Oryzias latipes: one gene and its partners. The protein of the gene in region 3 interacts with the protein of the main gene of each other region in a biochemical or structural test. Links are inferred from orthologs where the notes say so. Each region holds a gene or a part of one and is shown on either strand. Other genes may lie near its edges.

The links.
Region 1: the proteins of dnmt1 (region 3) and rb1 form a complex in vitro, tested with the Homo sapiens proteins (2 studies listed by BioGRID). The link is inferred for Oryzias latipes from reciprocal best matches to the Homo sapiens genes DNMT1 and RB1.
Region 2: of the proteins of dnmt1 (region 3) and setd7, one has a biochemical effect on the other in vitro, tested with the Homo sapiens proteins (2 studies listed by BioGRID and IntAct, with this or other methods). The link is inferred for Oryzias latipes from reciprocal best matches to the Homo sapiens genes DNMT1 and SETD7.
Region 4: the proteins of dnmt1 (region 3) and pcna form a complex in vitro, tested with the Homo sapiens proteins (3 studies listed by BioGRID, with this or other methods). The link is inferred for Oryzias latipes from reciprocal best matches to the Homo sapiens genes DNMT1 and PCNA.

The regions. Positions count from the first base shown.
Region 1 is NC_019872.2:15,911,036-15,918,406, forward strand, and holds the end of rb1 (retinoblastoma-associated protein), read right to left. Parts: intron 7,119-7,371; coding exon 7,003-7,118; intron 6,822-7,002; coding exon 6,667-6,821; intron 5,485-6,666; coding exon 5,339-5,484; intron 3,294-5,338; coding exon 3,189-3,293; intron 3,113-3,188; coding exon 2,999-3,112; intron 2,916-2,998; coding exon 2,767-2,915; intron 2,688-2,766; coding exon 2,657-2,687; intron 2,567-2,656; coding exon 2,424-2,566; intron 2,323-2,423; coding exon 2,276-2,322; intron 2,191-2,275; coding exon 2,120-2,190; 3' UTR 1,258-2,119; downstream 1-1,257. Other genes in the region: short transient receptor potential channel 2-like, read right to left, coding at 1-14. UniProt on the Homo sapiens protein: Tumor suppressor that is a key regulator of the G1/S transition of the cell cycle. The hypophosphorylated form binds transcription regulators of the E2F family, preventing transcription of E2F-responsive genes.
Region 2 is NC_019868.2:27,265,552-27,273,517, forward strand, and holds the start of setd7 (histone-lysine N-methyltransferase SETD7), read right to left. Parts: upstream 4,641-7,966; 5' UTR 4,271-4,640; coding exon 4,231-4,270; intron 2,831-4,230; coding exon 2,701-2,830; intron 1,464-2,700; coding exon 1,262-1,463; intron 1,176-1,261; coding exon 986-1,175; intron 908-985; coding exon 826-907; intron 745-825; coding exon 627-744; intron 521-626; coding exon 363-520; intron 1-362. Other genes in the region: alpha-1,3-mannosyl-glycoprotein 4-beta-N-acetylglucosaminyltransferase B, read right to left, coding at 7,501-7,518. UniProt on the Homo sapiens protein: Histone methyltransferase that specifically monomethylates 'Lys-4' of histone H3. H3 'Lys-4' methylation represents a specific tag for epigenetic transcriptional activation.
Region 3 is NC_019866.2:8,442,427-8,450,580, forward strand, and holds the start of dnmt1 (DNA (cytosine-5)-methyltransferase 1), read left to right. Parts: upstream 1-2,752; 5' UTR 2,753-2,899; coding exon 2,900-2,946; intron 2,947-3,368; coding exon 3,369-3,405; intron 3,406-3,721; coding exon 3,722-3,829; intron 3,830-3,919; coding exon 3,920-4,127; intron 4,128-4,211; coding exon 4,212-4,284; intron 4,285-4,377; coding exon 4,378-4,459; intron 4,460-4,532; coding exon 4,533-4,573; intron 4,574-4,649; coding exon 4,650-4,704; intron 4,705-4,819; coding exon 4,820-4,903; intron 4,904-4,985; coding exon 4,986-5,095; intron 5,096-5,216; coding exon 5,217-5,335; intron 5,336-5,423; coding exon 5,424-5,516; intron 5,517-5,590; coding exon 5,591-5,742; intron 5,743-5,847; coding exon 5,848-6,035; intron 6,036-6,333; coding exon 6,334-6,348; intron 6,349-7,073; coding exon 7,074-7,254; intron 7,255-7,336; coding exon 7,337-7,434; intron 7,435-7,680; coding exon 7,681-7,825; intron 7,826-7,898; coding exon 7,899-8,014; intron 8,015-8,092; and 1 more. UniProt on the Homo sapiens protein: Methylates CpG residues. Preferentially methylates hemimethylated DNA. Associates with DNA replication sites in S phase maintaining the methylation pattern in the newly synthesized strand, that is essential for epigenetic inheritance.
Region 4 is NC_019867.2:6,549,095-6,556,934, forward strand, and holds pcna (proliferating cell nuclear antigen), read right to left. Parts: upstream 5,152-7,840; 5' UTR 4,910-5,151; coding exon 4,689-4,909; intron 4,472-4,688; exon of another isoform or gene 4,042-4,471; coding exon 3,944-4,041; exon of another isoform or gene 3,855-3,943; intron 3,849-3,854; coding exon 3,781-3,848; intron 3,762-3,780; exon of another isoform or gene 3,706-3,761; coding exon 3,511-3,705; intron 3,429-3,510; coding exon 3,305-3,428; intron 3,231-3,304; coding exon 3,154-3,230; 3' UTR 2,807-3,153; downstream 1-2,806. Other genes in the region: putative aminopeptidase W07G4.4, read right to left, coding at 7,003-7,143, 7,231-7,412. UniProt on the Homo sapiens protein: Auxiliary protein of DNA polymerase delta and epsilon, is involved in the control of eukaryotic DNA replication by increasing the polymerase's processibility during elongation of the leading strand.

The DNA of each region.
Region 1 (7,371 bases), on a different chromosome or scaffold from region 3:
ATCTTTTTGTTCATGATCTCGCGCCATTGTTCCGGCTGAGGAACACATCAATAGCGTTAACCTCAACCCTTACACAAGTACAGTGCATCTATGCATAAACACCTTTTTTTAATTAATTAATATGCATTTAAAAAAGGAAGACAATAGAATGTGATTAAGACTAACATTTGATAGAAATAAGGTGAGGAGTATAGAAAAACAGAATGTCAAAACAGAAGCCAACTAAAATTTACATTTTGATTTAAAAAAATACGTAATTTTTTTAAATGTATATCGTAACACTTTTTCATATCCTGTAATGCAAATAAAACTCTTCTTACCGTGAGATTTTCCATTCCTGGAGACAAAACTAAAGTCCTCTATGTGGATTTCCCAACGTAAGAATACAATCACAGGCTCTGGAGACACAAAGTCGAGTTTTTGCCAACTATTTTTGGAGACTTGGAGATTAAAGCAGAAGATTGTACATTCAGCTTCAAGAAGAAGAAAAGTGATAACATTGCTGATCATGTGCTGCCGCCTGACTGGATGGATTCATCAGCTTCCAATAAACTCTGTAACACACCAAAGTTCCCCAAGGGGAATGGCCAATTAAAATGTAACCTGTTCAAAGTGTTTCATGCTCAGCTGGGCTTAAAGTAAACAGTTTCTGCATTCAAACAGGAATTATCTCTGGTCTCCGCTCTGTACCCAGTGCCTCAGCACAATTAAGCTAGTTGTTAAGGGGCACCCAACTGCTGTCATCTTTCCTCCCAGAGGATATGGAGGACGCTCACAGAAGGGGAACAGGAAAAACAAGCAGCTGCAAGTAACATACTTAAGTTTCCCCCCCCCCTTTTTTTAAACAACTTTCTTTAAATTGTGTTATTGCAAAAGCCACATAACTTCAAAATAATGAAGTATTAAGATTTCAGTTTAATTTCTTTTTCAACTTACCTGCTTTGCTGCAAATTTCTGTTCGGTAGTCTCCACAGCAAGTGTCCTATCCTGTGCATATCTGATGAATGGTCAATGTTAGCAGCTAAATTGACATTACAACAAAAGGTCAGTTAATTGCATTTTATGTGGAATGTTCACTTTCTTTAATCAGTTTTACTTAGATTTGAAGCCCGGCTGGCTGTAGCCTCTCGTAAATGTCAGGTAGCAAAGCAGGCGGTGGAAAATCTTCCTCTAAAAGATGAGCTCATAGCTTTTTTATAAGTTTAGAACAAAAACAAAAGAGAAACAGTGTAAAGATGAAAGACAAGAAACTATTTAACTGTGTTTCATTATCTTTATTTCCAGGAACTTGTTGAGCATATCACATTATTAAAGCATTCATCTTAAACTCTGTTCACTGAAATAACAATATTTTACACTGGGGATTTTTCTAGAATGAACCCCACATATAGGCTACACGTGTACTTTATTATTCAGTAAATTAAATTAGTTTCCCTATTTTAGAATTTGCCTTGTCCTCACAAAAACAACCTTCAGTTCACCACAGAAGTGAATACGTAAAAATATTCTTTCAGTACTTAAACACTATGAAATTTTTTTTTTTCCATTTTCCTTTTTCACCAAAAGTTAAAACAAACCTAAAATATAAACATTTTTAGGTTTAGTCCAAGAAAAACCAACACTAGTCACCAGATCCTTCAATATGTTGACCTTTTTGGTCGAACATGCGATTTTCTCCCTTAAGGACATGACCCTAAACTTCCAGACAGCAATCTGCATCTGAGACAGATTCCTTTGTGTTGACAGTAACCACGAATCAACATTTAAAATGCTGGATCATCATGATCCAAACATGTAAGAATAGACAGTTTTCCAAGACAGAAGTAAAACCAATGACGTTTGAAACAAATGATTCCTCCTTAAAAGGAGCAACTATAATAAACCAAACCCACATCAGGAACAACCACAATTCTATAAAAGTCATTATTTAGTTAAAAAACTCAAAGCATGACAAAGACAAAAAAAGGGGAGAGAATCGATGTCATCAAACTACTCTTTCAATCAAACTATAAACTAAAAGCAGCTAAAGGTGCACAAAAAAATCCAAAAGCAACTTGGGTTTCACTTTGTGTGCGGACAAACAGTAGTGTTCAAACAGTGCAGGTCAGTCCAGCAGATCTTAGGTTGTTTTTTTCCTGGATTCTGCATCCTCCTTCATCTTCTGCTCTTGCATTCGACTGCGAGTGGAGCCTGCAAGAAAAGCAGCATGAAGATGTGTGAGAAAACAACCGCAGGAGTTCAGCGGGACATGCAAAGGCACAGGTGTTTTTCTTACTCATCTCTGCAAGCTTCTGTATCAGTGCAGACTCTCCTCCAGATTTGCTGTAAATTGAAATGAAAAAATGATCCAGATGTTAAGTCAAATAAGCCTGATTTGTGGCGGTACTCTCAAGCTTGAATTTTGAAGTCGAATTGTCACAAACCTGCCATCAGCTTCATCCTGCCCGTCCACATCAAAGCGTAGCCTCTTCAGAGGCTTTAGAGCAGAGCCACCATCCAGAGTCCTCTTGTGAGCGCGGTCACCGCTGTTCACCATCTGGTTGATTTTCTGGAAGCGGTTGGCAAACTGTAGACCAAAAAAAGGAAAGAAAAGAAAATGTAGCAGCTTCTCCAGCCATGAGTAAAATAATAATTTTTATTTTAAAAAATCACAAACCCCAAAAGATTCACCAATGGAAACCAGCATTCTGCACAAAGGAAAAAAATTAATATATTGTAAGGAAATATTTCTAAAGTATTGACATATTCTAAGCTCTTGGGACTGACCTGGAGCGAGGAGTCATCATACCCGGAGACAGGCGTGAGTTTTTTAGAGGAGAAATGTACACATTGTTGCTTCCCGGCACACGCAGAGGGGAGTTTGGGAACTTGTAGGGACTGCATGGGATTTGAGGGATCGGAGAAAGAGTAGGTGGCTGGAGAGAAAGGACAGCAGATGCACTGAGACGAGTACATTTGCAATAAAAGCACACTGTTAAACAGGTCTGAAGTCTCTCACCCGGGTGGATGCATACTGCAGGATGTTGGTTTTTAACTTCTGCATAAACACTTGATTGTAGAAGACGATGATGGAGTCGTACTGGCCTTCTGTGATCAACACGTGCTTAAAGGTCTGAAAAAACAACATTCTCATAAGTCACTGTTCAAAAAGAAGAGTTTATATTAGAGTTTTTTGAAAGTTGCATCACCTCTTGGCTGGTGTTGGGCATGTTCTTGTAGGCAGAGACGATTAACTTGAAGCGCAGGTCGACGCTTTTTACTTTGCAAATTGCATACATGGCAGACATCATCAACTGCAGAGATGATTGAACTTTAGTCAGATTCTTCTTCACTACTGCCAGAAAAGTTCATAAAAACTTCTAACATTCACTCATGCACACACATTCACACACTGATGACGGCTCCACTGCCAAACACTGGGGTCATTCTATAACCATGAGGAGAAATGTGAGGTTCAACACATTCAGCGCAGCGGGAACCGGACCTGCGATCTTCCAATCAGAGGTCGACCGCTCTTCCTCTGCACCACAGCTGCCACTGCTATGGTGACCAAAATGGACAACCAAGCTCAGAAGCGCAGCTGCCAGCCTAGGTGAATCTGTGATAAATCTTTAACCTGGTGATCGGTGTTAAGAAGACATTAAAACAGGAATTCCCTGAGGAGCCTCCATCCTCCTTCACTGCTCTTTTTATTGGAGATATTTCACAATAAATAGATAATCACATTTCCATATGTGATCCTAGGAATAGGGAATTCCAGTTTCTCATTATGGAAGAAGGGTGGACTCCATCAACTACCGGTACTTGAGTTAGAGTCAAATGATGGTAAATATATAAAGTGTGAAGACTATTGATGGGTCTGGCAACACAGACGCATCGGCTCACGTGTAAAGCTCATAGAGTGAAACCCTGTGTCGCTGCGCGTATCCCTTTAGGAGAAGTCACGTGACCGATACAGCCACTGTGAGCCAAACAAGGAAGCGCGTCTACCAGCAGTGTTGCCAGATCATGCGGTTTTCCACCCAATTGGGTGGGTTTGATTTTGCTGAGAAAATTTGATTTGTGTGGTTTTCGCGTCAACTTTGCAGGTTTTAGTTAGTTTTATAATGAGTCTCTAAGCAGTCTTTTATTTTGAAAGTTATTATATTTTGAAAAATTACCAGATCTTCTTGGTTACATTACTGTCACTTGGGTGCTAAATAAGTCCAGCGGTGAGTTGGACTGAAGAACAGTTTTTGATGCCTCAGATGCGCGCCCTGCTTCCAGCTGTTGAATGATTCTCGCGCTCGTGTGCCGCCGTTTTCCCCGCCCACCTGTGTTTGAGGTTTTATTTTACTGAATCTTTACTTAAGGTGTTAAATGTGGTGTTTTAATGAGGTTCGCGGAATTATTTAATAGTTTTAATAGTGTTTCTGGCTTTTTGTTTCTCCTCTTCCTCTCGGTTTCCGCTTGATCTAGCAGAATATAATTCTATTTCCAACGAACTCTAATCAGTCATTTTATGTTTCAGAGGTTAAATGTGGCATTTGTTCTGCAGAACCGTCAAACTTAAAAGCACTTTCCTAATGCTGGGGCATTATAGAGCGAGACATGGGAATAAGGAACTACTATGACAAATATTGTGTTTAGCTTCAATTTAAAAAGTATATCAGCTGAGTTTCTTAACTTGGTTCCCTGCAATAACGTTTTTGGTCCAGTCAGTATTAAGTGACACAGTATCGACACAGTATCATTACAGTTTGGGCAATGTGTTGAAACGCTTCACGTGGCCTCATCTACACATCACTAGTAAAGACTATATCATTAAACTAGATGTAACATTTATGGATCCCTTGAGGATTATTTGTATCACTGTAGTTTAATATTCTAAAATAATACACATTTGTAGTTTATTTTGAGTGAAGATGGAGCAGCAGAGAAGGGTGGGAGGTGCTTTTTTTATTTTTCTTTGATGGAGAGTTTATTTTTTGTGTTTGTGTGATCTGTATTCTGTCAGTCCAGAGTGTTTCAAGTTCATGCATTTTATTTATATGGATGGTCTTTTTGTCTGACAGAGAAATGTAGAACTTCCTTCTTCTTGTTCTCTGTTGTCCTGGACTGGTAAAGCTCGTACACCGAGTTCTACTTTTCCCTCGCTGTGATTATTCATCGTGACAAATGTTGAGAGAAGGCGCCATTGTTATAAGGGATACCTTTAACGTCACAGATTCTTAATAATCTCTTAAAAAGCATGATAATAAAAAGGAAAGAAATTGGTAGGAAAATAGAAACATAAAGAAATTCTAGCTTTACATAACTAGAAAAAAACAATCATTAGAGCACGATAAGGCGAGCACACCTGGTCAAGGTGACGGTCCCTCATTAGATCATACTCATATTGCAGCGTGTGCTGGAACAGAGTCCATATAACGTGCTCCAGGTCCGGGTGGTTGGAAAGCAGGCAGGAACAAAGAGTCTTCAGCCTCGTATATGCCAGTCGATACACTATAGAAATAGAAAAAGAGGAACTTTCCGTTTTACCAGTGGACGACCCAATTCAAACTAGTTTAAAAATAAGGAAAATAAAAAGTTATTTGTAAATGAAACAAAAAACAAAATTCTAACAGGAAGTTAGATGTATGATTCATCCAATTCCAGGTAAACTAATAAAAGCCTTGAACTACAAAAAGTGAGTAAGCTAAAACAAAATAGGTAATATAGAACTGTAGCTTAAAGGATGTTAGGGACTCAACAAGAACCCACACTGATGAAAATGGTGTTTTGGGTGTTTTTAACATGATCTTGTGACATAATTCTGATGATGGAGGACATGTGAAGAAAATTTAGCTTAAAATTCATTTTCTGAGTATATCTCTATTCAAGCTGTTGTGAATCAGGAGCAGATGAAAAAAATGCTGTTTGAAAAAGATCGTATTTGTTACATAGAAAATACACTGGGCGGACACAAGCTCCCTGCTCTGTTCTATTCTGATTCATCCACTTATAGACAAAGAGATCCAAAAACATCTTCCTTTTCCTTGTCTGAGCTGGTATGTGGCTCAGAACTACGGCTGGACACACAGGATAGGTTTTTACATTAGATAAAAATACGATCAAAGTGGAACTTTAACATCTTCTTAGATTATGTAGATGGATGTCTGTCTCTGATTGGACAATAAATCTGTTGTACTAAGAGTTAAGTTAATTTCAAATGTTCTGTGGTCTCTTATTGTAAAACACTTTCATACCCTGAAGGCGTTGTGAAGAGATATATAAATAAAGCTTAACTCATTCATTCAATGACTCCTTACAGACACGTTCTTTGTTTTTTTTAGCTGTTCCCTTTAGGAGTTACACAGTGAATCATTCACCTCCATCTAACCCTCTTCTTTGTTTCTTCCTCGTTCACATAAACTTCCTTATTAAAACCATGAAACTCCTATTTGGTCTTCCTCTAGGTCTCTTTGTTGGTGTTAAGCAGCCTTTTACCAGCATAACCACTGTCCCTACTCTCAATGTGTCCAAAACCTTTTATTTTTTTAAAACATCTCACATGAGCTGTTCTTCTGATGGACGATGAAGCCTTACTACAGCCAAGCCAAGTCTCACTTGTTGTCACCAATATCCACCAGCACCAATAGCTCTTGTTAAACTGACATCAAGGAAATAATCACAGAAACATCTTACATTTTTTATAGAAGAGGCTCAGAGAGTTAGACTTTGGTTGCCGTGGAGCTTGGCCTGCTGCCTGAGGTGTCGGCTGAGAGGAAGCCTGAGAGCTGGGCGTGGCTGGTGATTCAGGAGGCAAGACACGGAGACCTGGGCGAATTGGGGATAGATATCTGTAGATGGAGAAGAAGCCAAAGAAGCATGCGTCATTTCCACCACAAGTAAGGAGGCCCCGTGTTGAGTCATGCATTTAAACCAAGACAAATGAACTGACGATTTGTCCTCATTCATAACAGTAACATATATTTCAGGTTTAGAACAGTTCCGTGTGAGCTGAGGGAAAGATTGGCTCACAGGTCAGCTGCCGTGTGGTTGTGTTGCAGAGGTAAGCTGAAACTCGCCGGGGGCTCGGCCTGTTCTGTGGCTCCAGCTTCATTTTCCCGCTTCAGCAGCTCAAACAAAGGGGAGCCCTACAAAAACAGAATCATTTAAGTCTTTATCATAAACTTCACCTCAACCAGAATGAAAATACCGCACAGTGTTATGAAATGCACACAAAGACATTAAAATACAGGTTAAAACGATACATTTAATCAGCTAAAAAAGGAATTATAGTTTTTTTGGTCATCATTCATGTTCAAGTCATGGTCACTCACATAACTTATGGCTATCAGTAATATTCAAGGCTGTAAGAATAGATTCAAAAATACATAGTTCTATGAT
Region 2 (7,966 bases), on a different chromosome or scaffold from region 3:
TTGAATCCAACAGGCATCAGAAGCTTCTTGAATTCAACCAGATGTTTTTGATGGAGGCGATCTCAAAGTACAATGATGCCTACAGCCTATATTACAGCTTCTACATTGTTGTGCTCTGGGTTAAAATGTTATGATTAAGCTCCAAGATCAAAATTAAATCATAATTTGGTAAAGACTGTAAGTCCAGAAACCATAGTTCAACTTCAGGACAAGGTCACCTGGATGAATAATAACCTTCATCGACATCTTAAAAACAAAATACTGCTGCATTTCCTTGATTTCAAGTGCAAATTAAGTGTTATATGGAATCAAATCTCTAAAAACAGAGAGAAACCAGCACGAAGGAGCAGGTTTATACGTACGGGTCGTATTTGCAGTTGGGCGTAAAGGAGTGGTTGGCCTTGTGACCCAAAGAAGCGCAGTATCTCTCGGTCTGATCGAACGGCTTTGGCACATCAATGACGGTGTCTTCATCCAGGGAGATCGTGTTCCCGTTGAGGGCCCAGTCCCGGCTGTCCACCTAACAAACCCACCACAGCAAAAACGCCCTCTGTTGAGTTTTAAATAAGCAAACAAGAAGGTCAAGATGCACAGTGACAGTAGAGGGCTCCCTAAACGTCCCGCACCTCGGAGTGGGTGATGCGAACCCCGTTGTAAAAGGCCATGACGGTACCAGGCTCCGAGTCCTTCTTGGCGAAGAGGCCCTGCCCTGCTCCTTTGATCTTCGAATCGGCCACAAACACCCTGGAAGGAACAAAAGTGCAGAATCATTCCAAGTCTGTTTCCCAAGGAGGAGAAATCAGAGAAGGACTGACAGGAGCCCACCTTTGGCTCTCGTATGGGTCTGGGAGGAGAGTGTGGGTGGCAATGCAGGTAGACGTAGACTTATCATACGAGTACACGGGACCTTCAAAGTAAAGACATTGTCATTTTCCTGTCCAGCTTTTATTTCGTAGGCCAGTTCCTGATGGATGCACACACTTACTGTTGGGGGCAACTTCAAAGCGAGGCCTTCCGTGGTCTTTGGAGATCATTGTGGCGGATCGGGCTTCGATGATCTCCCCATCCACAAAGCTTCCATAAAGAGCGGTGCATCCATCAGGGTAGATGTACGCCATGGACTTTCCGGTCATCTCCCCTTCCTCGTTCACCTCCCCAAACACACAGCCTCCGTCCTGGATGCGCCGCCGAGAAGCACAAAGCCAACACCGTCACCAAAGCAGCGCAAGAGCCGCCACGACCGTCAGGGTGCTCGACTCACGGGGTAGTAGATCCAACACTCTCCACAGCGGGCGTCGTCTTTGTACTGGCCGTTAAACGACAGATGACCCTCACTGTCAAACTCCTGAGCAGGTCCGTTGAGCTCGCCGTCAACGTACATTCCATTGAGGACCCCTCCGTCTTCATAGGTGTACACCCCCTGACCCTGCAGGGCGTCATCCACATAGTAGCCTTCCAAGGTACTGCAGTCAGAAGGACAGGTCAATGGAGTTCAAATGAATCTGAAATCTGCATTTCTGCTTAATGGCGTCAAATTATTGCGTTAATTGTGATTAGTTTATCAACTAAGAACTCAGCAGCAAATGCGTCTTGCATTGCTCTCTGTGTCAATAGTGTTCCTAGCTGTGACGTCATCAATGTGAGACTTTGTAGTGCTTAACAGAAATAACCCAAAACAAAGCCACAAATGTTTTCTATCATGTCAGGGATAAAGCCAGACGAAGTGTTTGTTGTCATAAATTAATGCGGAACATGAAGGGCAGATCGCATCGGACAGTAAACTGTAGAATAATGTATCTATGTATAAATGATGATGATGTAACAGGAAGAATTCATACATAATATATTTATCTGTGGTCGATCTGTAAAGGGTTGATCTTGATTCGTGAATAAAATCGGATCGTCACCTAAGTAACTATCCATGGGCCTAATCCAGGACGTCTTCCTGTTTTCTACACGGTAGATTTCTTAAATATTGTCAAAGTATCAATACAGAAAATTCACTGTAAGAGTTTTTTTCCACTTAAATGTAGCTCGAAGTCTGTAGATTTTAAAATACATGTTTATACTCTGTGGTCTATGCAGAATGCAGCCCTTTTGATACCCAGAACTGTGCTCAAAACACATTTTAACTGCTTTTTAGATCTCATATTCTAAATGGTCAGACCCACTCCTACATATTTGTTAGAAATTATTTAATATAATGAATACAGACACTTGAGTTTTATGATTTTTGGATTACCACACAGGACAATAGGGCTGCACTATGTTAGGAACACTTGTGATTTGCGATATCAGTGATCAATATTGCAATGATGATATAACTTGCGATAAATGAACAAATAGCGAAAGCAACTATGTACATCAATTCCATTTCACTGCAAGAGTCAGCATAACTTGCTTTACACTCCAAAGACCTTAGTCTACATAGGAGGCATATATATAACATAAAAGGGCTCCTTACGATTGGTGTAAAGGAGTCTATCTGATTGGTCAAATGCATAATGGTATTTATTTGATTCGTTAAATACTTTAAGCTGCCAAAAGATTGTTTTAGCAAATTTAAGGTAACCCTTTATCGCAATTTTCATCAACTTTTGCGATATGCGTATTGCACATCTTGATTTCGCGATAACGATAAATTTGCGATTTTTTGTGCAGGCCTAAATGACAATAAATCTGTTTAGGTTTCTACCCTACCTTCCGTCAAAGAAGAAGAACTTGCCCTTGCCATTCTTCTCTCCGTGGGTGAAGTGTCCCTCAAAGCGATCGCTGGATGAGTACGTTACGGTGCAGAATCCGTGAGGCAGACCGTCGTCATCCAGTGGTCCTAAAATAAAATCAACACCATGAATATTTAGTGACATGGAAACCACAAAGAAGACAGGACTAAACGACTACTCTACCGGTAGTCGTTTAAGGGAGTAGCTTAGGTTAATCTTAGAGGGTTTTATGTGTTTCTATTCTGTTGTGTGTCTTTTAGCCTTGGTGTTCTTGTAGGAAGTCCAGAAAAACGAAAAAAAACAGAGAAAGATTTCGTTGGAGCATAGAAAAATAAAGCAGGGATGAAGACAGAATGACACACAAAAAAGCCCTAACAGGTTCTGTGAATTCATGGAATATGGGTCTGATTTCAGAACAATTCACCTTCTTTGTTCCCTGGCTTCAGACTGGCACTTCTTGTGCCTGGCTCTCTCTTCACACACTTGCCAATACCCTTTGCATTGATCAAGGGTTGTGATGTATTCTGCAGCTCCAATCTTTTCCAGCAGGTCATCTGTTCTGGGCACTACACACCCCCAAATCCTCATTGACAGCCAGGCCGGGGAATTTGTTTATCCAGATATAATTGCTTTTTGCATTTGGTTCTTTTATTTACATGGTCTAGTCAAAAATGTAAAAACCTGTGTTGTCATCTAGGACATAGTTTCTGCAGAGCAGCAGAAAGTTCATCTGAGTTTGTGGGTGGAACCGTTAGTGCCTCCCTCTTTTTGAGAATTCTCTCCCGCTGCCTTACAGCCCATCAAACCCCCAATCGAACCTTCTCAGACGAGGAAAACAAAGAAAGACGTACACAGATTTCTTTGTCTACAAGTGGATGCATCAGAATGGGCGGAGCAGGGAGCTTTTGCTCCGCCCAGTGTGTTTTTACATCACAAATGCTATTTTTTTCAAATATCATTCCTCAATTTACTCCTTAAGAATTACTTAATACATTAGGTTTTCAGCATAGGTTTTTTTTACATGTCCAACATCATCAGAAAATTGGCATAAGAACAACAAAAACACAGTTTTGGTCAGACTTGTGTTTGTTTTCTTCCAATCCCTTAACATGTAAAAAAACAAAACAAACTAAAGTTTAACTGAAGACATCTGTGGTTAAATTAGTGACTCAGCAAATATAAAAGACTAATTATTATTTATGTATATAAGAATTATCTGTAGACATTTGACATTTGCATTAATATGTCACCTTATAATCTTTAAATTCATAAATCGAATATTGAAACCATTCCTGCAGCGGGACACTGAAATTACACAGACCGGCCTCGATCACCCTCTAAACGGACTGCTTCTGAAATCGAGTCACCGGCTTCAGAAACACCACAAAGGCCCACCATCAAACTCGCACGTGCGTGTCTCGTAGTAGTAAACATAACGCTCAGATCAGTGCCGTCATGTCCACGCGCCAGTTACACGTTGCGTCAGAAAGAATGGGGGTTTACCTACCTACCACCACCTCCTCTTCATTCTCTTCGTCGCTCTCCATTCCTCCGGAGGCCGCCGGCCGAACACCACCACGCGGCGGCAGTTCCCGTCACCCATACGGCTGCATGCCGCCAGCGCGTCACGTGACACCCCGATCAGACACACCGTGCAGCAGAACGTTCGCGACTGTTTATCCTGCTTATGCTTTTACTGTTGTTCGCTCCACAAAATCAAATAATCAAACTAAATTTGGCACTTTTTATTATAGGTAAGGTGACGTTCCAATGGAGGAGTACTCCATTATCAGAGACAGGAGGTGCTGTTTATCTAATATACACAAACAATTTGAATTCATCCACGTGACTGCACATTAGCCCAGTTATAACTCTGAGTTCATGTTATAACCTGGTTCACGTTTTTGCATTTTTATTCAGGTAAAACCTGATCCGGAAGTGGGGCAGAGCAGGCTGTTCAAACAACTCAGCTGCTTGTGTCGAATGATCTATAGACCACCTCCTCATGTTGTGGCTCATGACTCACTTTGCTTCTTGAACACCAGCAGAGGATTAACTAACCTCTCTGTCTCACACCTGCATGTAGATAAGATGCATTCGAAAGAACCTCTATTTTTAGGCTCAAAATTGCATTTCTCAGTACTTTTTAATTCTAATCATTGTGAATCAGGAAAAGATGAAAAATGCAGTTTGAAAAAAAATCGTCTTTGCAATGTAATAAATATATGTGAGATGCAGGAACGTCTTTGTTTGTCCTCGTTTCCTCAAAACTGTATGGCTGCATAGCTCCAATATTGCTCCCCATTTTTGTTGCACCATTATTGTCGCGTTGGAGGGGCTGTAAGCTAGTGGGAGAGTCTGATGGAAAAGTGGAACTGGGTTTGCTCTCCGCCCATTGGATATATATCCGTCTGCAAGTGGATGCATCAGAATGGAGCTGAGAAGGGCGCTTGAGGCGGATTTTCTGCGTCATGGACACAAATTTTTTTCAAACAGCCTTTTTTCATCTGCTCCTGATTCACAACTTTTTGAATAAAGATATGCTCAGACATGCAGTTTTGGGCTTAAATTGTTGTGTTTTCCAGAACAGAGATACCAGAAGCAAACGAATGTAGAGCTTCAGCGAACCTCATGTTTTCTCCCTGACACACCCTATGATGGATGGCAGGACTTATAGGCCTTTCATACTTCAAAAATCCCCCGATGACTTTTTAAAAAAATTTTAATGAAAACATTCTCAGTGGTGTTTTAATTATGATTATAAAGTGTTTAACTAAAATCTAACAACCTAAATGTATTTAAAGCTACATTTCATGTTTATCTGAAAACCTCTGCTTATATGGGCAAGGCCGTTATTGCTGAACTGAGTATGAAAAAATCTAAAAATATATAGTAAAAAAAGAAATAGTCAGAAATGCAAAAATGAAATTATTTCCTATTATATTTGCTCTAAAAAACATGATTTTCATCAGAGGGGGACTTCAAATATGACCCTTTTCTGCAATAAAACGAGTACCCTCATGTGGCCACTAGGGAGCAGTGTCACACACCAAAACAGGAAGATAAAATTATTTGGACAATTAAATGTATGAACGGGAGCAAATTATGAGATGGAAGAGATCATTACCAAGAAAACATCTCCAACTGATTAAAACTGATGAAACTCAGGGAGCCAAATGTCTAAAGTGGAATATAAATCCAGTAAAGAGAATGCCAGGATGTTTGATTAGGTACAGGTGAGTACAACACATGTGATCCTATCCAGAATATTTTACTTTCACAACCTTGTATTTTTAACAGTTTAGTGCCTATTTAATCACTAGAATCTTCCAGTGTTGTGAAAGTAAGGAGGATTTTTATGTTTATTTGCTGCATGACCTGCAGTTCATTCTTATGAAAGAGCTTCACCTTCAAAATACAGCTTTTAACTCCCTAAAACTCCCTTTTGTTTCCACCCATCCAAGCTGATTTATTCATAAACAGCAGGTCAACCTTTAAAAGGAAGATGGCAGGTTCAGCCTATGGCCCTGCCGGCCCATTTGTTGAAGTGTCCTTGGGCAAGAACCCCACATTGGTATTATGCATCTATCTATCTATCTATAGATATATATATCTATAGATATATATACTTATGTAAGTTGCGTAATCATTATTTGCCAACACTCTATTATCACCATAATATGATTGTCTCAGTTCTATCTTTCAGTTAGAAAGCAATGACCTGAAATGTTCTGATTATACAAGAATATGATGTTCCTGTTATTCCTGATTAAATGACCTACATTCAGTTTTCAATAAAAAGAGGCTCCATGCACTAGGAAGGCTTAACTCCTCTGTGACAGTTCGCGCTGTGACAGGCTGATTCTCATGCAGACGTCTAGCAGGAATTCTCATCTCCTGTGGGGTTCTTCTCTTCATTAAGGAAAAAGTCAGAACCCTGACAATATATTAGCAGAGGCGTTTTTTCCGGATTCAATTAATAAACGTGCCTCAAAAAATGATATAAAATCAGCTACAGTATACATACAGTTTGTTATGGAGGAGTTTTTCCAGGAACTTGGTGATTTTATTTGTGCTTTTTGCAGAAAGTGACAGTAAAAGGAGATTTAAAGATGAACTTTTTTTATCTTTGGTTACTAGTTTGAATATTCAAATTCAAACGTACTTTATTACTCCCTCACATCTCGAACAAGATCAGACAATATTATATTAGTATAATATTGGTATAGTTTAAACTAATGTTTACCAAGTTAACGACAGACGTGGCATCACTTCAAGAAGAAAATGAAACCATTTAGTTTTCATTTCTTTTCAACAGAGCAGGACTCCTGTTGCAGCTTTAATGCAGATTTGTTTCTTTTTACTAAATCAAGTGTCTGAAATTTTTGTTTTCCTTGTTTCCTTTTTTACACATTATTTTCTTTTATAAAAACAGCTTTAAAGAAATGAAAAACATCAGATCAAAGCAACGTTTTAACTAAACAACGACGACAGAAAAACAAATAATTAGTACTGGAACTGTAATGAGGATTTCTTAATTTGGTAAAGAAAGACAGGATCATGTTTCTGGATCATGTGATGACACATTTTCTTTATTTGTACAAAAAAACAGTCTTTAGTGCAAACCAGAGTTCCATCTATACGGAGTAGCAGCAGAGATGTGCCAGGTTCTTTCCACAGAATAATTTAACCCCTTCATCTTCTTCAGACGTGTCTGCCGATGAAGGCACTTGGGCTTTGAAGTCTTTGTCCTTTAGGGGGAGCGAGAGGAGTTTCCTCAAACTTTTATGTGAACCTGACGGACAGGAAAGGTGAACATTAGGTCAGACGCGCTCAGAGGAAACTTTTAAACGTTGATCAGACACATGACATTTAAGGAAATCCAACACCCAGAGCTTTGTCAACAAAGAATGTAGACTTTGGTTTTTTTAAGTCCTGCCTTCACAACAGCCGTTCCCACAGAAACATGATTGTGTCTACATTAAAACAAGTTTCGCTTTGCGTTTTTTTTTTCCCTTTCAAAACACTCACTCAACCAGAAACACCTAACCCTAACCACCTCTTTGCATTTTACATGCATAGATTAGATTGATTAATACTGAGGAATACAAGATTTAACCTTACGTCTAGTAAAATGTGTTTTTTATATACACAAAACAGAAATATTTAAATGATTTCCATGTAAAGTGGAAAGTTCAGTGAAAGCTGCCTGACAAATGGAAGAACGTGTTTTTTTCTTTATT
Region 3 (8,154 bases):
AGCTGGGCAGAAGATGGGGAGGCTAAATAATGGGTGTGGCAAAGAATTATGTCTATTCGTTTGATAACTGTCTGGGAGAAGCATAGCAAAATAACCCTGTAGGGGCTTTTGGTGAGGGGGATGCTTGGGGTGGAGGGGGCAGAGGCTGACTTATGGTGGCCTTGAGAGAGTTGGGGCTGTTTCCTGTCAGACGTCCAGAATTCCTGGGTGGGAACATTGACTGAATCCGTCCCAGGAGGCTCTGCTGTTGGGAATTCCGCCAAGTCTTTCCATTGCCCAGCAGGATATTACATCAGGACCAAAAACCTCCAAGTTGAATCTACAAAAATCTTTACAGAAAACAAAAATAATCTTGTAATGCACCTAAAACACTTTAAAGTAGATTAGAAATGTGTCATATGTATAGTAAAAAGGAAATCTTGATTAGAATATGCATTAACTCTTAAAATCTTATTGTCTGCTGACATTGTATGATGGTATGGTGGAAGGACCCTCAGTTAGATTGGCAATGCAATTTACAGCATCACACCTGGAAAGTTTTGGCTGAAAGTACTCCATAGTTTCAACAGCTTATTGAGTAAAGTTACTTTAAATTTCACAATTTTGTGACATCAACCATTTGATTTTCCAGGTTTTGCCAAGTGTTTGTCTCCCAGTCACAGAGCCAGTTTCACTTTTTGACTTTGAGAATCTAAAGTTGCTTCACCAACACAAGATTTCACACTCTTGAAATGACGGAATTTCTGTTTTATATTAAACATTAAAGAGGACAGTGGACCAAAGCATCCCCAAAAGAAACATTTTGCTTTGTTTTGTCACTGAAATGTTGCATTTTTCAGTCCATTCTCTTGTTCATTTAAACCAATAAGTAGCCTTTGACACACTATGCTATTGGAAAAACAATTGATAGTTATTTTTGAAATATTTTATTTGTAAAAATGATAAGAGGATGCTTAAAATCACATGGCATCACTTGTGTAACGACGCCATCTTGTGGAAAAACTGCACAATAGCTGTTGATCTTGAGCAATATTTTCTTTTTGTGCTAATCAAAATAAGAATAAAGTAAAAACATCAATCTTTGAAAGTATAACTTGGATACTTAAAATACCAATAATTGAAATAAACTTGGCATCTTAAAGTCAAGTCAGCAACAAACTTCTGCCTGTGTAACTCCAAAGCCACATCATTATTTCAGAAGCCAATGAAAAAAAATGTTGTAACTTCCCAAGTATGACAAAATAAGCTATTTCTTTCTGAATGCACCAGATCTGCTTACATCCTTGCAGATTTGACATTACTTAAAACCCAAACATGGAAATGTATTTTGGCTTTAGACTGTTAGTAAATAAATTTCACTAACTTAACCCTTGTGCTATCCTATGGGGTCAAGATGACCATTGACGCGCTATCCCTTGTGCTATCCTAGGCACTTTACCATTGGGAGTTGGGTCATCTAGACCCACTAGAGAGTGCACTGAACCTTTTTTTTCAATGTTTTGTGAACCTCACTGGTGTCCATGGATTACATGACATCTTTCCACCTTTATCCACCTTTGTCATGGTAGGAATAACACATCAAAGTAAGGGTGGGGTCATCTAAAATAGCACAAGGGTTATTCATACCATGACAAAGGTGGATTAAGGTGGAAAGATGTCATGTAATCCATGGACACCAGTGAAGACCACAAATCGTTGAAGAAAAAGGTTCAGCGCACTGTCTAGTGGGGTCTAGATGACCTCACTCCCAATGTTGAAGTGCCTAGGATAGCCCAAGGGTTAAGGAAATCGGTTTATTTTTCCTTTTTATAATTGTTTCCCAAGAGTCAGTTGTTCTTAAACTTTGCTAAAGAAATAAACAAATAAACAAAATTGTATTTTGTATTAATTTTTTAAGTTAAAAAAGTCAAATTTTCACTGGCACAAAAGACAGAATCGAAATATTATTTTGAAATCCAGTCGAAAGCCGGAAGTAAAACCAGTAGCAAGGGATTTAGTTTTTTTTAAACTAAAAATAAAACAGAAGACTGCTTAAATGCTAATTTCAGATGCCTTTATATAAAGTTATTTAAAGGTAAAACGTGCTGTACACCTGGCAAAATTATTTCTAGAAAATTAGGATACAAGACAGGCAAATAAATTAAAGGAAATAACCCGGGAGGTTTTGCTTAGAACTCGATATTAAATTCCCCAAAGCCGTTACTGTTTTAGCTATAATGTGATTTATAATTTTGTAATAATATTTGAATATTCAAAAAGGCTTCGACACTGAGCCTGAGGTTTGGCCGTTTTTGTTGTTGTTGTTGTTTTTAGACAATATATATATATATATATATATATATATATATATATATATATATATATATATATATATATATATATATATATATATATATATATATATATATATATATATATATATATATATATATATATTGTGTGAAAGGAGCCCCCACCCCTTATCCATAACTCAATGTAAACACTTCGTGTCGCTTCCGCTTTGACAGTTAACCTACACGTTTGTGGAAAGGAGTGGGGGTTTACCGATCCATCTGGTTACATATCATTAAGTAAAATGACCTCATTTTGATAATTTAGGAGTTCTTTGAGGAGCAACTTATATTTGTGTATGTGGTTCGTGGGTTTGTGGTAACCTAAAATGACTTTAGTAGAAATATTGTTCATTATTTTTAATACGTATTACCCATGGATTGTTACGGTGGTACAGTCCACAACACCCGGGTTTCCGCGCGAAAAGACGGCCCGCGCGCCCGAATTGCTTATAGCATTCACATAAGGAGACAGCACGCGGCAGTCGCTACCAGTGGTTCTGCTTTGTGTTTGATGACGGCGTACTAAAGTTCGTTTTAGCGGTTTTATTTTTTAGTTTGCAGTTACGATGCCATCCAGAACGTCCCTGTCTTTGCCAGACGATGTCAGAAAAAGGTACTTATAACGTGTCTTAAATGCTGCCCTAATCATGATGAAGCTAGTGTGGTTTTATCCTGAGTCAGAGTCTACAACAACGACCCTCACGCATTCGTCACTCCCTTAGTTAGAGTTTACCTGTGCGGGCTCGGCTTAACGAGCACGTTACCCTTGGTTTGTACTAGCAGCTGCAGCTAGCTGTAGCATATGCCATTCGACCAATTAGGGAGGTTTGAAGTAGTTTTCCCTTCTACTAGCCCGCTAGCAACGTTAGCATCACAGTGATGGAACGACATGACATTTGGCGCCAGTTGGGAAGTCCTGATACCCACGCTTTTTTTTATCATTATCTTGGTATCACAGACAATATGTGTAGCTCTGTAAGATTGGCGCCCTGTAACTTGCAATTTCCGGTTCAAATACATGCCATTTGTTTACAGACTGCAGATGCTGGAGGAGGACGGATCTTCAGAGGAGGTAAAAGCTCTTAGTGTAGTTAATCCCAATGTGGGTGTTCTGCTTTGACAACTTTGAATATGCATGCAAAGATGGTTTCATTTAGAGCCCAGGCTTCCAACATATTTTATTATGAGACCATGGATACAAATATGGCTTTTTTTTCTTTAAAAAAAAAAGCTGCCCTGTTATCTTGCTACTGCATACTTTCTTCTTTTGAATGTAAGATGTAGCTACCTATTAAAAAAAATATTTTTTTAACTGTCATGGTAGTTTGTGTGTGTTTTAAGATTTATATTTTTATCTGGAAAACAAACAAAATATATATATTTTTTAGGATCAAGTCAAAGAGAAGCTAAAGTTGGTGCAGGACTTTCTGCATGATGATACTCAAACCCAGTTGACCAGTCTTGAAAAAGAAATGAAAAGTTCTGAGATCTCGAAGGTTTGATACATCCCATTATGGCAACATAATTTAATAATTACCTCTGTTGGTTGGCTGCTTGCTGATTTCTTGTTTGTTTTTCATTTTTAGGAGGTATACATATCAAAAGTAAAGGCCTTATTGGGAAAGGAACTTCATCTGGAGAATGACTTGGAAGTTGGAAAAACAAATGGCTTCTCAAACGGCTCTCATGAAGATGAGCAGGATGAAGAAGCCATGGGCACAGATGATGTCAAATCACCGCCTCCTTCCAAAGGGAAGGCTGGACGCAGGAGCAAGTCCAATGGTGATTCAAAAAGTAGGCCTTTTTTTTTTTTTTTAATTATGCAGTCATGGGTTTTAAAAAATCAGTGTGTTAAAATATAAAATCATCCACTTCTAGAGTCTCCAGCAAGTGCAAGAGTCACCAGGAATAGTGGGAAACAGCCAACTATCTTGTCAATGTTCTCCAAAGTGTGCGTATAAGTTTTATATGTATATATGCATAATTGGAAGCTCCATTTATTCAAAAAAAGTGGTAATGTATAAATATTACATTTGTTTTGCAGTCAAAAGCGCAAGTCTGAGGAAATGAGTGAAGAAAGTGTCAATGGAAAAGATGAAGTGAAGAAAGAGGAGGATGTCGAAGAGGTGCATATTAAGAGGCATCTTTGTGGCCTTCATTGTCTAATATAATTGAGTGTTTTATTGTTTTGCATTGTAGTCTCAAGAGAAGAAGCGCCTCAAAGTGGAATCTGATGAAAAGTAACTCATTTTTCCTGATCTTTTTGTGTTGACTTTTTGATGTCGGATAAACTGATTTACGCTTCTCCTGCTGTAGTTCTGCTGCAGAAGATTGTAAGAATGACACAACCAAGCCAGTATCTGCTGCAAAGGTATTTAATCGATAGAACTGCTCTTTTATGTCTTTTGTTTTTCCAACATCTGTGATTCCAAACACACAAACTATTTATACATTTTTTTTTATACATTTTTTTGTTGTCTTTCTAGACCCCACCTCCCAAATGTCAAGATTGCCGACAGTTTTTGGATGACTCAGATCTGAAGTTCTTTCAAGGAGATCCTGATAATGCTGTGAGAATTTCCTACCCATTTAATATATAGTGGGTGCACACACATTTTTATTTTGCCTTATGGGTTTCTTTCCCTTTTTCAGCTTGATGAACCTGAGATGTTAACAGATGAGCGTCTCTCCCTCTTTGACTCAAACGAGGATGGGTTTGAGAGCTACGATGATCTGCCACAGCACAGAATCACAAATTTCAGGTTTGCAGTTGTTTAAGTGTTACAATGACGCCAGAGATATTTACAATGTTTGCACCACATTCTCCTTTTCTTAGCTTTATTGTTAATTTTTTCATGAATAATGGCATATTTTACCTTTCAGCGTGTATGATAAACGCGGTCATCTGTGTCCGTTTGACTCCGGACTGATTGAGAAGAACGTGGAGCTTTACTTCAGCTGTGCCGTTAAACCCATCTACGATGACAATCCTTGCTTGGATGGTAAGAAATGCTTCAGTTCAAGCACTGATAAAAGATTTTATTTTGTTTCTATTGTTGCTTTATCCATCTTCTTTTGATGCAAAATCAGGTGGAGTTCCTGCAAAGAAGCTTGGGCCGATCAACGCCTGGTGGATCACTGGGTTTGATGGAGGAGAAAAGGCTCTAATTGGTTTCACAACAGGTAACGCAGTTGTTTTCACGTCTAAAGTTTAATTTCCAGTGTTTCTCAGACTAATGTCAACTCTCTCTGTGCAGCGTTTGCGGATTACATCTTGATGCAGCCCAGCGAGGAGTATGCCCCCATTTTCGCACTGATGCAGGAAAAGATCTATATGAGCAAGATAGTGGTAGAATTCCTCCAGAAAAACCCAGATGTTACTTATGAAGACCTCCTCAACAAAATTGAGGTGGTGTTTTTCAGTTAAAGTTTTTCTTTTTAACACCCCCCCCCCCCCCCCCCCCCCCTTATCAAATGTGAATCTTGACAGACTATCTTCTTTTTCTACTTTCAGACAACAGTTCCTCCTGCAGGACTAAACTTCAACTGTTTCACTGAAGACACTCTGCTGCGCCACGCCCAGTTTGTGGTGGAACAGGTGGAGAGCTACGACGAGGCTGGCGACTCGGATGAGCAGCCCATCATCGTCACTCCCTGCATGAGAGACCTCATCAAACTCGCAGGAGTCACTCTGGGGAAAAGGTACAGTTAATACATTCAGACGCTTGTAAATAAATTTATATTTAAGAATTTTTAAGTTCATAATTAAGTGACATCACCTCAAAGTTAAAAAGAAAAAAGGGTCTCTCCTTTTGGTGGGATACTTAATTGCCCGACTATTGTATAATAAAGTAGAACAGTTTGGGATTATGACCATGTATCCTTAAAAACACTTAATTGTATTTAGATTGAACCCTTTTTAAATTTTATTTTTTAATTTTCTGCACGTCAGTCTTTGTCTCCCTGATGTCTAACATGTTTTTAACACTTCCTAATGCAGCACGCTGCTGTACTGGTAGGTGGTTCTTGCTGTGATTGCATCTTTATTCTGCTATGTGGTGTTTTTCTGTCAAACATTTAGAAAGTGAACAGAGTTCACACTGAGACACATACATGGTTTTTAAACTATTTTCATTTTCAGTTATTTTGATTTATATTGTGGTCTTTCAGTGTGATTTGCTTTTGTAAAGTTTTGTTGGAATAGTTTGGGATGAAACAAAATTATTTTAAGTCAAAGGTCAGAAATGTAAAAAAAAATGAAACTATCATGAAACTTGAAGAAAATGTTTCTTAAGAACTTCCTTTCTTTTTTTATCTTTTATGTTTATTTGTGTTTTGAGGTAAATTAATAGGCCTAGAGTTGGCTTTATTTTCAAGGTAATAGAGTAATTTTTAAAAAAAAGTCTTTCCAAAATAAAATTATTTCACGTTTTATACTTTCAAAATTTTAAAAGCCGTGAATTATCACTAGATTTATTTCTCTGACAAATTTTCCGAGGTAAAGAGTTTCAAAGAAAAAAAATCCTGTTTAAGTGTTAATATTTCATCTTTAAAGTTTTTTTCCATAGTTCTCCAAAGGTCAAAGGTTAAGTTTTGTTTGCTTGTACTGCTGCATGGCCTGATGCTGTGGTGTGTTTACGGCCAGGAGCTTCTTAGTTCCATCCCTCACCATACGATCCTGTGTTTGTGCTGCTCCAAAACCCGCCTCTCCTCTAAACGCTGACTCTGTTTTGTTGATAGGAGAGCTGCCAGAAGACAAGCCATCCGTCACCCGACGAAGATCGAGAAGGACAGCAAAGGACCGACGAAGGCAACAACCACTAAACTGGTCTACCAGATCTTCGATGCCTTCTTCTCTGACCAGATAGAGCAGAACGATAAAGAGAGTGCGCTCAAAAGGCAGCGTTGTGGCGTTTGTGAAGTGAGTTGGTTATTGTGTTCTTTGGTTTGTTTGTTTTTTGTGAAGTTACAACTCCAAATCTAACAAACTGGAATCTTTTTAGGTTTGCCAGTCTCCTGATTGCGGCAAATGTACCGCCTGCAAAGATATGATCAAGTTTGGAGGAAGCGGTCGAAGCAAGCAAGCCTGTAAACAGAGAAGGTGAGGATGTCTGAGGATCTCTTTGTGGGAAGTCCAAGTCATCACAAACGTTTTGATGGGAAAAAAGTTCTGGTTCAGTTTAACTTTGCCGTATATGCCGCTACAATCATTGCTGCAGGATAAATATTTTTTTTTACAGAAATCCTCGTGTCTCTTCTGCTTCAACTCTTCATACTTTTGTTGTGGTTGCGACAGAGAAATCCGATCTATTAAACTCTCTGATGGCCTTCTTTTCATGCTGTTTAGATGCCCTAATCTTGCTGTAAAAGAGGCTGAAGATGATGAGATTGTTGAGGAAGATGTTTTGGTAGAAAAGGCAAAGAAGGACGCCAACACCAAGAAGAAGAAACAAACTCAGTGCAAGCTTGCATGGATCGGAGAGCCTATACTGGTATGTCTTTTAGTTTTTTTGATTGATTTACTTAAGCCACAAATGTAACTGACAATGATCTGTTTGGCTTTAGTCGGAGGGGAAGAAACACTACTACAAGAAAGTGTCCGTCAATGATGAGGTTTTGGAAGTGGGAGACTGCGTTTCGGTTTTATCTGATGATCCATCCGTTCCTCTGTATCTGGCCAGGTACAAGAAAGAAAAGGTGTACTTTGGTGATGTTTTGTTTTACAGAGGAGTAACCTCCGTTCGTGTATTGTCTCTCAGGATCACTTCAATGTGGGAGGGTTCCCACGGGAAGACCTTCCATGCTCACTGGTTCCTTCGAG
Region 4 (7,840 bases), on a different chromosome or scaffold from region 3:
AATCCAAACAGTTCATGCTCAAAATCTAAATAGAAGAAAACAGAGTCTGAACAATGTCACTGCATTGAAAACTAAAAAAGGAAGCAGGTGACCCAAACAGCAGCAACGTTTGGTCCAAAGTCGCAAACATTCCAGTAACTGGAGACTTTCTGCCACTGATCAGCTGGGCAGTGCTTGCTGTAAAGGCTGCGACACAGCTGAAACTGATCAAAAGATTTACCTGGCAAGGCCGCCTGCAGGTAGGGAAAGGGGTGTGTCCTGAGAGTCATGAACAAGGAAACCACTTCTACTGCCTCTAGTGGAATCACGGTGAACTACAGGTCAGAAAACATGTATCAAGTTCTGAAAATTGATTTTTCAGGAAAGTTTGGCTCAAGCTATTGAGATAGGGGTCTCCAAAATGCATGCATCAAAAATGATACCAATGGTTATGTAGGGTTAATGTGAGTTTCGACAAGCTTTCCTTCAGCTCAGAGACAGACTGCCTTCCTGACCTGGTTTTGTCACAACTTCCTCCAAGTGTTCAGTAAAAATTACAGCTGTGATGCTTTTTATGAGGCCTGACTGAGGCTTAAAATGGCCAATTAAAAAGTGGAAGCCCCCAGTCAGCTTGAAAGAACTTGGCTGTGCTTCAGTTTGTGATTAGTCTTAACCTGGACGGTGACAGTTAATTAAATATTGAGGCAGCTTAAATTGATTCAATGTGCCTTTGCTTTATCGGTCACTTCTTTAATTGACGTTCTAATCTCACTCGGCTCTTCTTCTTTTGCAGACAGACTCCGCTCCTTATCTAAAAGAGTGCACATGTTTAAGGGGCAGAAATACATCCAAGCAGATATTTTAGTACACAGAAGAAGCTGTAAGAGTTTTGGTCAATTTAGATCATTCATGACAGTGGTAGGCTTTGTAAAGAACATTTGTTTTTTGAATGCAACAGAAATAAATCCAAAGACAGGAAATCCCCTTTTTTACTAGATAGAATTTGGATTTTCTGGGATAACAGAGACAAGAGGTCCACTCCTCTCCCTGCTTCTGAACTGTATCAGAATATTCCTTATTAAAGGAACGCTGCAAATGAGGAAAATTATTTTAAATATTTGCTGCTTTAGACAGTCGCAGGAGAAGCCACAAGGCTGCACCCTGACATCGTCCAGAAATGAGAAAATCCCTCTAAAAGCACCTTCAAATCTACCCTAATTAACTTGTGGCATCTTCTTTAATCCTGTCAGAAACTGAAACATAAAAAAACAATTTGTCGGAGGACTGAAACATACTTAAGGCTTGTTGCCAAGCAACAGCTGTTCTTTTAAAACGTACAGTTTTAGTTTCAGACTTAGAACAGGCAGAAGTATCAAAACTGCTTTGGCATGATGTGAATTTTGTTGCTTTTGAATAAACTCACCTCATCCCTGCAAGGCAATTAAAAGGTAAATAAAACAGACCTATTGATTTTTGCCTTTACTTTTTAATGAATTAATCAAGGATTTGGAATTTTCTCTAAAAGGTATTTGAAAAAAAATCTGCATTTACTTTTTTACTTTCTTCTCACTTTCTATTACTTTCAAAAGCCTTGGTATTTTTGAAGAACTAGGTGAAATGTTTTATTTTATTTCTTTTTGTCCAAAACATGTTTATCATAGTTAGCTACAGTCATTTATATTCAGAGTCAATGTTTCACTGTAAGATATTTTTAACATTTTTATCAAACTCAGAATTCTTCACAGATATAAGATGTCTAAGTTGAAATACCTTTATTTTAGGTTAAACCTTCATGCTGTGTCACTAATTCAGCACATACCATTTAATCAAATTACACTTAAATTGGCATCACAATAAACGTGCTGGTTTGCGGCGCCTTCCGTCCGTGAAACCCGGGTTCGACTCCAGGCTGCTCCCTGTTCCCTTCTCTACCTCTGCCGGTTCCAAGCCCGGTTAGAGAAGGTTGCGCCAGGAAGGGCATCCGGCGTAAAACATTGCCAAATTTACCATGCGACTTGTTCGCTGTGGCGACCCCTGATGGGAGAAGCCGAAAGTGGAAGAAGAATTGAAAATAAACTCAGGCATGAAGGGGTTAAACTACACAACCTTTAATAATTTTTCTATATCCTGTGTTTTTCACAATAATAGCATTTTTTTGGCACCAGTGTCAAGTCTTTCTTGGTGAAGTAATTTTATTTTGGTTAATATGTTTCAACAAAGAAAGATGGAAATAGTATAAAGGGTTAAGATTGTTATAATTAAAACAAGCAATAAAACATGCAAAGGAAATTGATTTGCGCGTCAAAAACAGCATGTCATTAAAATATTCACGCAGATTCAAGGCAAAACTAACAGAACTTAACAGACCCACAGTCTGATGTATTTGCATGAATATGTAGATTATCTTTGTTTCATTTGAAGGTGGTCCACTTTAATAATGCTGTGGGATGTAATTTCTCTGAAAGCAGGCTCAGAACTCAGATTATGTGGTTAAATCCCAATCAGACCATCAAAGTGAGCTGCTTTTTTGTTCACTGTACTGTAAAGCTCAACCTAACACTGTGGATAACCTGGAATATCTCATGCTGAAAAGCTGATTTTTTGGTCACGTTGAAACCTCTTCTACCTTAAAAAGGGGGAATAGCACCACCCAATGGGCGTTTTCTGGTTACACATCTTTTCCTCTGGGACAGGAGCAAAAAATAAAATCTATTTGAATTGCATACCAACAGATGAAAAATAACAAAAATATCTGAAGTTTGACCCACACACATGTGCACTTATTAAAGGTTTGCTAGTGAAACTATAAAGTGGACAGCAAACAACGTTTTTTAACAACTTGAATCCTTTATTTCCGATTGAATTTATGAGTACAAAACATTTGGAGCTTGCAGTGTGACGCCACAGGAATTATTTACAGAGGTGTTATCTACAACAGAATGGATACCTGCAAACAAACGGGATAAAAAGAGGGAGAGAACAGGCCTAAAACAATTGCTGGAAACTACGACAGATGTGTCTGCCAGCTACTCTGAGCGTCCCTGGACTTCATTTTGAGCCCAGGAACCTCAGAGTGACCACAGTTCACCACAGTAAGATCCCTTCAGTCCTTCAGGAGGAGTCCCAGTCATCCATCACCTGCATTCTCCCCCCTTTTCGGTCTGTGCTTCCAACTTAAGAAGCTTCCTCATCGATCTTCGGGGCCAAGTAGTATTTGATGTGTCCCATATCGGCAATCTTGTACTCCACCACTGTGAACAGATAAATGTGATGAGGTCGAGCTTCAGCAGGTGTGATGACGGACACACAACGTAAGCCACCTTACCAAGGGGGATATCAGCAGACATGCTAAGGGTTACAGTCTTTGACAGCGGAGTGGCCTTGGTGAAGAAGTTCAGATAGTTGAGAGCAAAAATCAGCTGGACGGGTTCATTCATCTCAATGGTGACCTGAAGGAAAGCGGGAAGTTACAAAACGATGTCAAAACAAACCGATTTTCCTCTGCAGGACAGATCCACCCCTCATACTTACGGCCTCTTCTTCTTTGTCCACATTGCTGGTCTGGGACAGCTTGATGTTTCCCGTGCCCAGCTCTCCCGAAGCGGAGAATTTAACACCGTCTTTGGCACAGGAGATCATGACGGCGTCGCCGATCTGCGACAGGTCACGGCAAATACGGGCGAACTCCCCGGAGGGCATCTTCACCACGCAGCTGTACTCTTGTTCCTGACAGGAGCAAAGAAAGTGAAGATCAGGGAATGCTGGGAAATACTGCAGAAGAGGTAATTAAAAAATACCTACTGGAATGCCCAGCTGCTCCACATCCAGGTCCATCAGCTTCATTTCATAATCTGAAACTTTTTCTTGGTCTGCAGGAACACAGAAAAGTGAAAAGGAGCATAAAGACTTTGGAGGATTTTCATCAGATGAACAGTTTCCGTATGACGAACAGTTAGAAACTTACTGATGGTCTCAAACACAAGAGCCAGAGTGTCAGCGGCGTCCTCCGCTCTGAGGGTGATGATGTCCTCATTTCCCGCACACTTCAGGATTTTGGACATACTGAGAAAAGCAGTAAAACATTTGAGCTTTTATTTGAATAGCAAAAATTTAGCTTTTATTAATGTCACCTTTTAATCTATAAGTATAAAGTACTATGTTTGAAGTAAATTTATTTTAAAAACGATAACGTGGTATGTTTAAAAAAAATGATCCAAGTATTTGTATCAACATGCTAATCTAATTCCGGAAACTCTTATGAAAGAGTGACGTAAGCGGAAGTGCAAGTTCCCGGGTTTTGAGGATTCCCGCCAACACTGCCGGCAAGAGTTTTGGCGCTAAAGTACCGCAGCAAGTGCGGCTCTGTGACAGCGCAAAGACATATTTGCACATGTCAACGTTTTAGACGTTTTGTTTTTTTGCTGGTTGAAATCAGCGAGTGGACAGTAAAGAGTTAACCGAGCAGGGAGACATGCCCGGGCTTCTCCAGCAAGATGGCCTCCTTTGTCGGCCTCACAACGATCGACGTTTCACTCGTCCAAGATGATTTTGGCGCCACACACGATTACCATGAACAATTCGTAAATGTCTGAACTTGAAGTCAGCCCCTGATAATCACTTTAAATACATTTAATAGGCAGAACACATGACATGCAGATTATACACGAAGCTTCCCTCTTATTAAACTTTGTTGTTTTTCTCCCCGTCACCTGCTAAGGTTGACTCCCATGGCGAGGTTTCTGTCGCAGCGGTAAGAGTCGAAGCCGTCGTGCCGGAGAGTGAGCTGCACCAGGGATACGTGAGACGAGTCCATGCTCTGCAGAGAGATGCCGGACGAACTGACGTCCCAGCAGGCTTCTGTGATCAAATCCTTCAGGGCTTCCAGGACCTTTTTCAGGATGGAGCCCTGGACCAGGCGAGCCTCAAACATGGTTATTCTGTGGAGGGTTGCGTAGATCGAAAAAGAAGGCAAAGGTTGGTGGAGGTTTTCAGCGCTGCTCCGGTAAAAGGAGGCTGCAGTGAGGAGTAATCACGACGTAGGCGATGACAAAGCGGCTTTGGCAGTTCAGTCTTTGTGTGGCACGCGGGCTACAGACGCGTCTTCTACAACAACCACAAGATTTGAGCTGGAAGCCCGCGCAAACGCCTGTTGTTTAATAACGCTGCGTCGTTGCGTCATTTCCGGACGTGTGACACACTTCCGTCAATAAAACGGAAGCTGGATGCAAATCTGCAAAAACATTTTTGTTTAGAGATTTAAAAAGGAATCTGCTTGTTGAAAAGAATTATTTTCACATTTTGGGCATGTAAAACATATTCCCGTAGTTTTTAATACAAATTGGGAATATTTCTGACTTTTAAAAATATTACAAAAATATTTTAGAATGAAATTAAAAGGTCTAATTGTTTTTGTTTTTAAAAGAAAGTGACCTCATTCTTAACAAAACACTGGTTAAATAAATGTTTTCTCTTGTTTGGTGTGGTAGATTATAATACTCTTAAAATAAAGTGAGAAGAGTTTTCTTAAGTCATCAGATGTCCTGCAAAAATGACACTAGTTACTATATTAATTAAATCTGAGGAAATAAGCTCCTAATGTTGATCAATATATGGAGTTGTTGTACATTTGTAACATTGAATGCCTGAATAATATTAATTTGTCTCATGTTTTACACATATGTTTGTTTTAAGAAAATTGCATCATTTACAAATGTACAAAACAAAAAGATAAACGTTTAAATGATGTTACTAAAGCATAATGCATAATATTCAGACTGTCTCGGGCCAAAGTCCTCTTATCAAAATCCCAAGGCACACCACCATCACTCACACACACACTAAAACTCTTTCGACTGCATTAACAATACGCATTCTCATCAAAGAGTCTTGAATAAGAATCAAATAAACACGAAGACAAATTTTTTGTATGATTTTTCATATTTCATGTTTGGATGAAAGCAGAGCTGATATTCTGGCAATTGTAAATGTTTTTTTTAGACCAATTAGACCAAAAGAGTGAAATTGAATGATTTTCTATGACACAGCTGATTATCCTTTCCAGTTTTCTTTTTATGTTTATATTGATGAGAATATATTGAGAAGAATAGAATTTTGCTGAGTAAGAAAAGTTAAAAAAATTTTTTTAATCAAGTATATCCAAAACATCAGTAAAACTTCATCTTCACATTTATTTTATTTGCTTAATTTTTAATATTATCACTGGAGCAAATATTCTGCCCCTTTTTTTACACCTTCTGCTCCTGAGTCTTAAAGATGCAAACCTTTACAGTGGAAAGTATCAATTTTACTTTCCACTGACTCCAACATCTTACTGAACAATACAGACTTTGTTAACACCGATTATGACTAGTTTAAATGTATGGAGCATCAAGTTTCTTTTTACTACTTTAACCTCATGGATGTTGTCAATGATTGCTTGATGTTTTATGTGGAATTTGCATTTTAATAAATAAGAAAAGCTGACACACAGATTCAAAACTAATTTTATATATAAAATTACACTCAGGAAATGTAATTTCTTCACCAGTATTTTCTTTGGCATTGTCTCAGTGCTGTTTTAATGAAAGTAAAAACACCTCAAACATTCTTGAGGTCACTGGTTCAGCTTCTGAGCTGCCATTTTTATATATATTTATCTGTGCTTCCTCATACAAGAGTTGTTCCAAAATTAGTGACACTACTCTTCAAAATAAACCAATCTGAACAATAAAGTTGCTGTAAAAACCTTTATTAGGCAATGTGCAGTTCTTGATGTGACACGAACAACAGGAAGTTTAAAAAAAAAAGAAGCTTTTTCCAAATACTTTTAATGCTCACAAAATGAAATGTTTTTGTAAGCAACCCCTGAGTATATAACCCATTTAAGCAAACCAACAGGCTTTTGACAGGAAGAGAGCTTAAAGTTGTAAACAAAGGAGGAGAAATAACCATTTGTGATGTTAAAGATAGTTTTTTTTTTTGTAATACTGTACTTGGAAAATACAACTTTGCCTTTTCAGATTTTTAATTCAGACCATCTTTAAGGATGTAGTTGGTTGTCATGGCAAGCACAGGAGCCCCTGTTGGAACACCCGGGAAAGGACCACTGGACCCAGCAATGTCAATGTGGGAGTATGGCAGAGGGGTGTCAGAATCTACACCATGCTGTGGGAGAAAATCAGAAGTTAGACTTACTGATGCATTTTCTTCACCATACCAAGACGTTTTTGCTTCCTGGTAGCATATGAGCACCTTGTCTAGTCCCGAGGCCATGATGAGGAAAGCAGCGGGGCTCTGATGTCCTCTAGGCGTAGCGGAGGATGGCAGGTTGTTGGCCTGCAGAATGTCCTCATACTCAGACTTGCCCTTGTGGAACTCATAGTCCTCCCGTCTGATCGTGGAGACCTCAAACACATCACCTAGAACCTCTCCAGCTGTGGGAAGAAGAACAAAGATCTGTAAACGTATACTCTGCGTTTCCTATAGAACGCTTTTAATAATGAAAACGTTTGAAATGTCGTTCATCTGTTGCACCTTGCACAAAAACATTAATACCACACCCTGTTTTTTATTTTTGTGATGATCAGTCGGACCAAAATTAAGCATGCCATGTTCATCTGCTAAGTGTGTGCCACTGTTTACTGCCCTTTCCAATATGGTGTCAATCTTTACGTACATTGGACGATGGTAACAGGCTGGTGTAGCGTCTCTAGCTTATACAACTCATTGCTCCATAAAATCACACAACACGTGAGCACTGAGCATTTCTCCCTTTCTCTCTATTGTTAACTCTGAAAAAGTTACACAAGCGCCCTCTGCTGGATAACCTGGAAATTGCACGCCAAAAGATTTTAAAACTGTC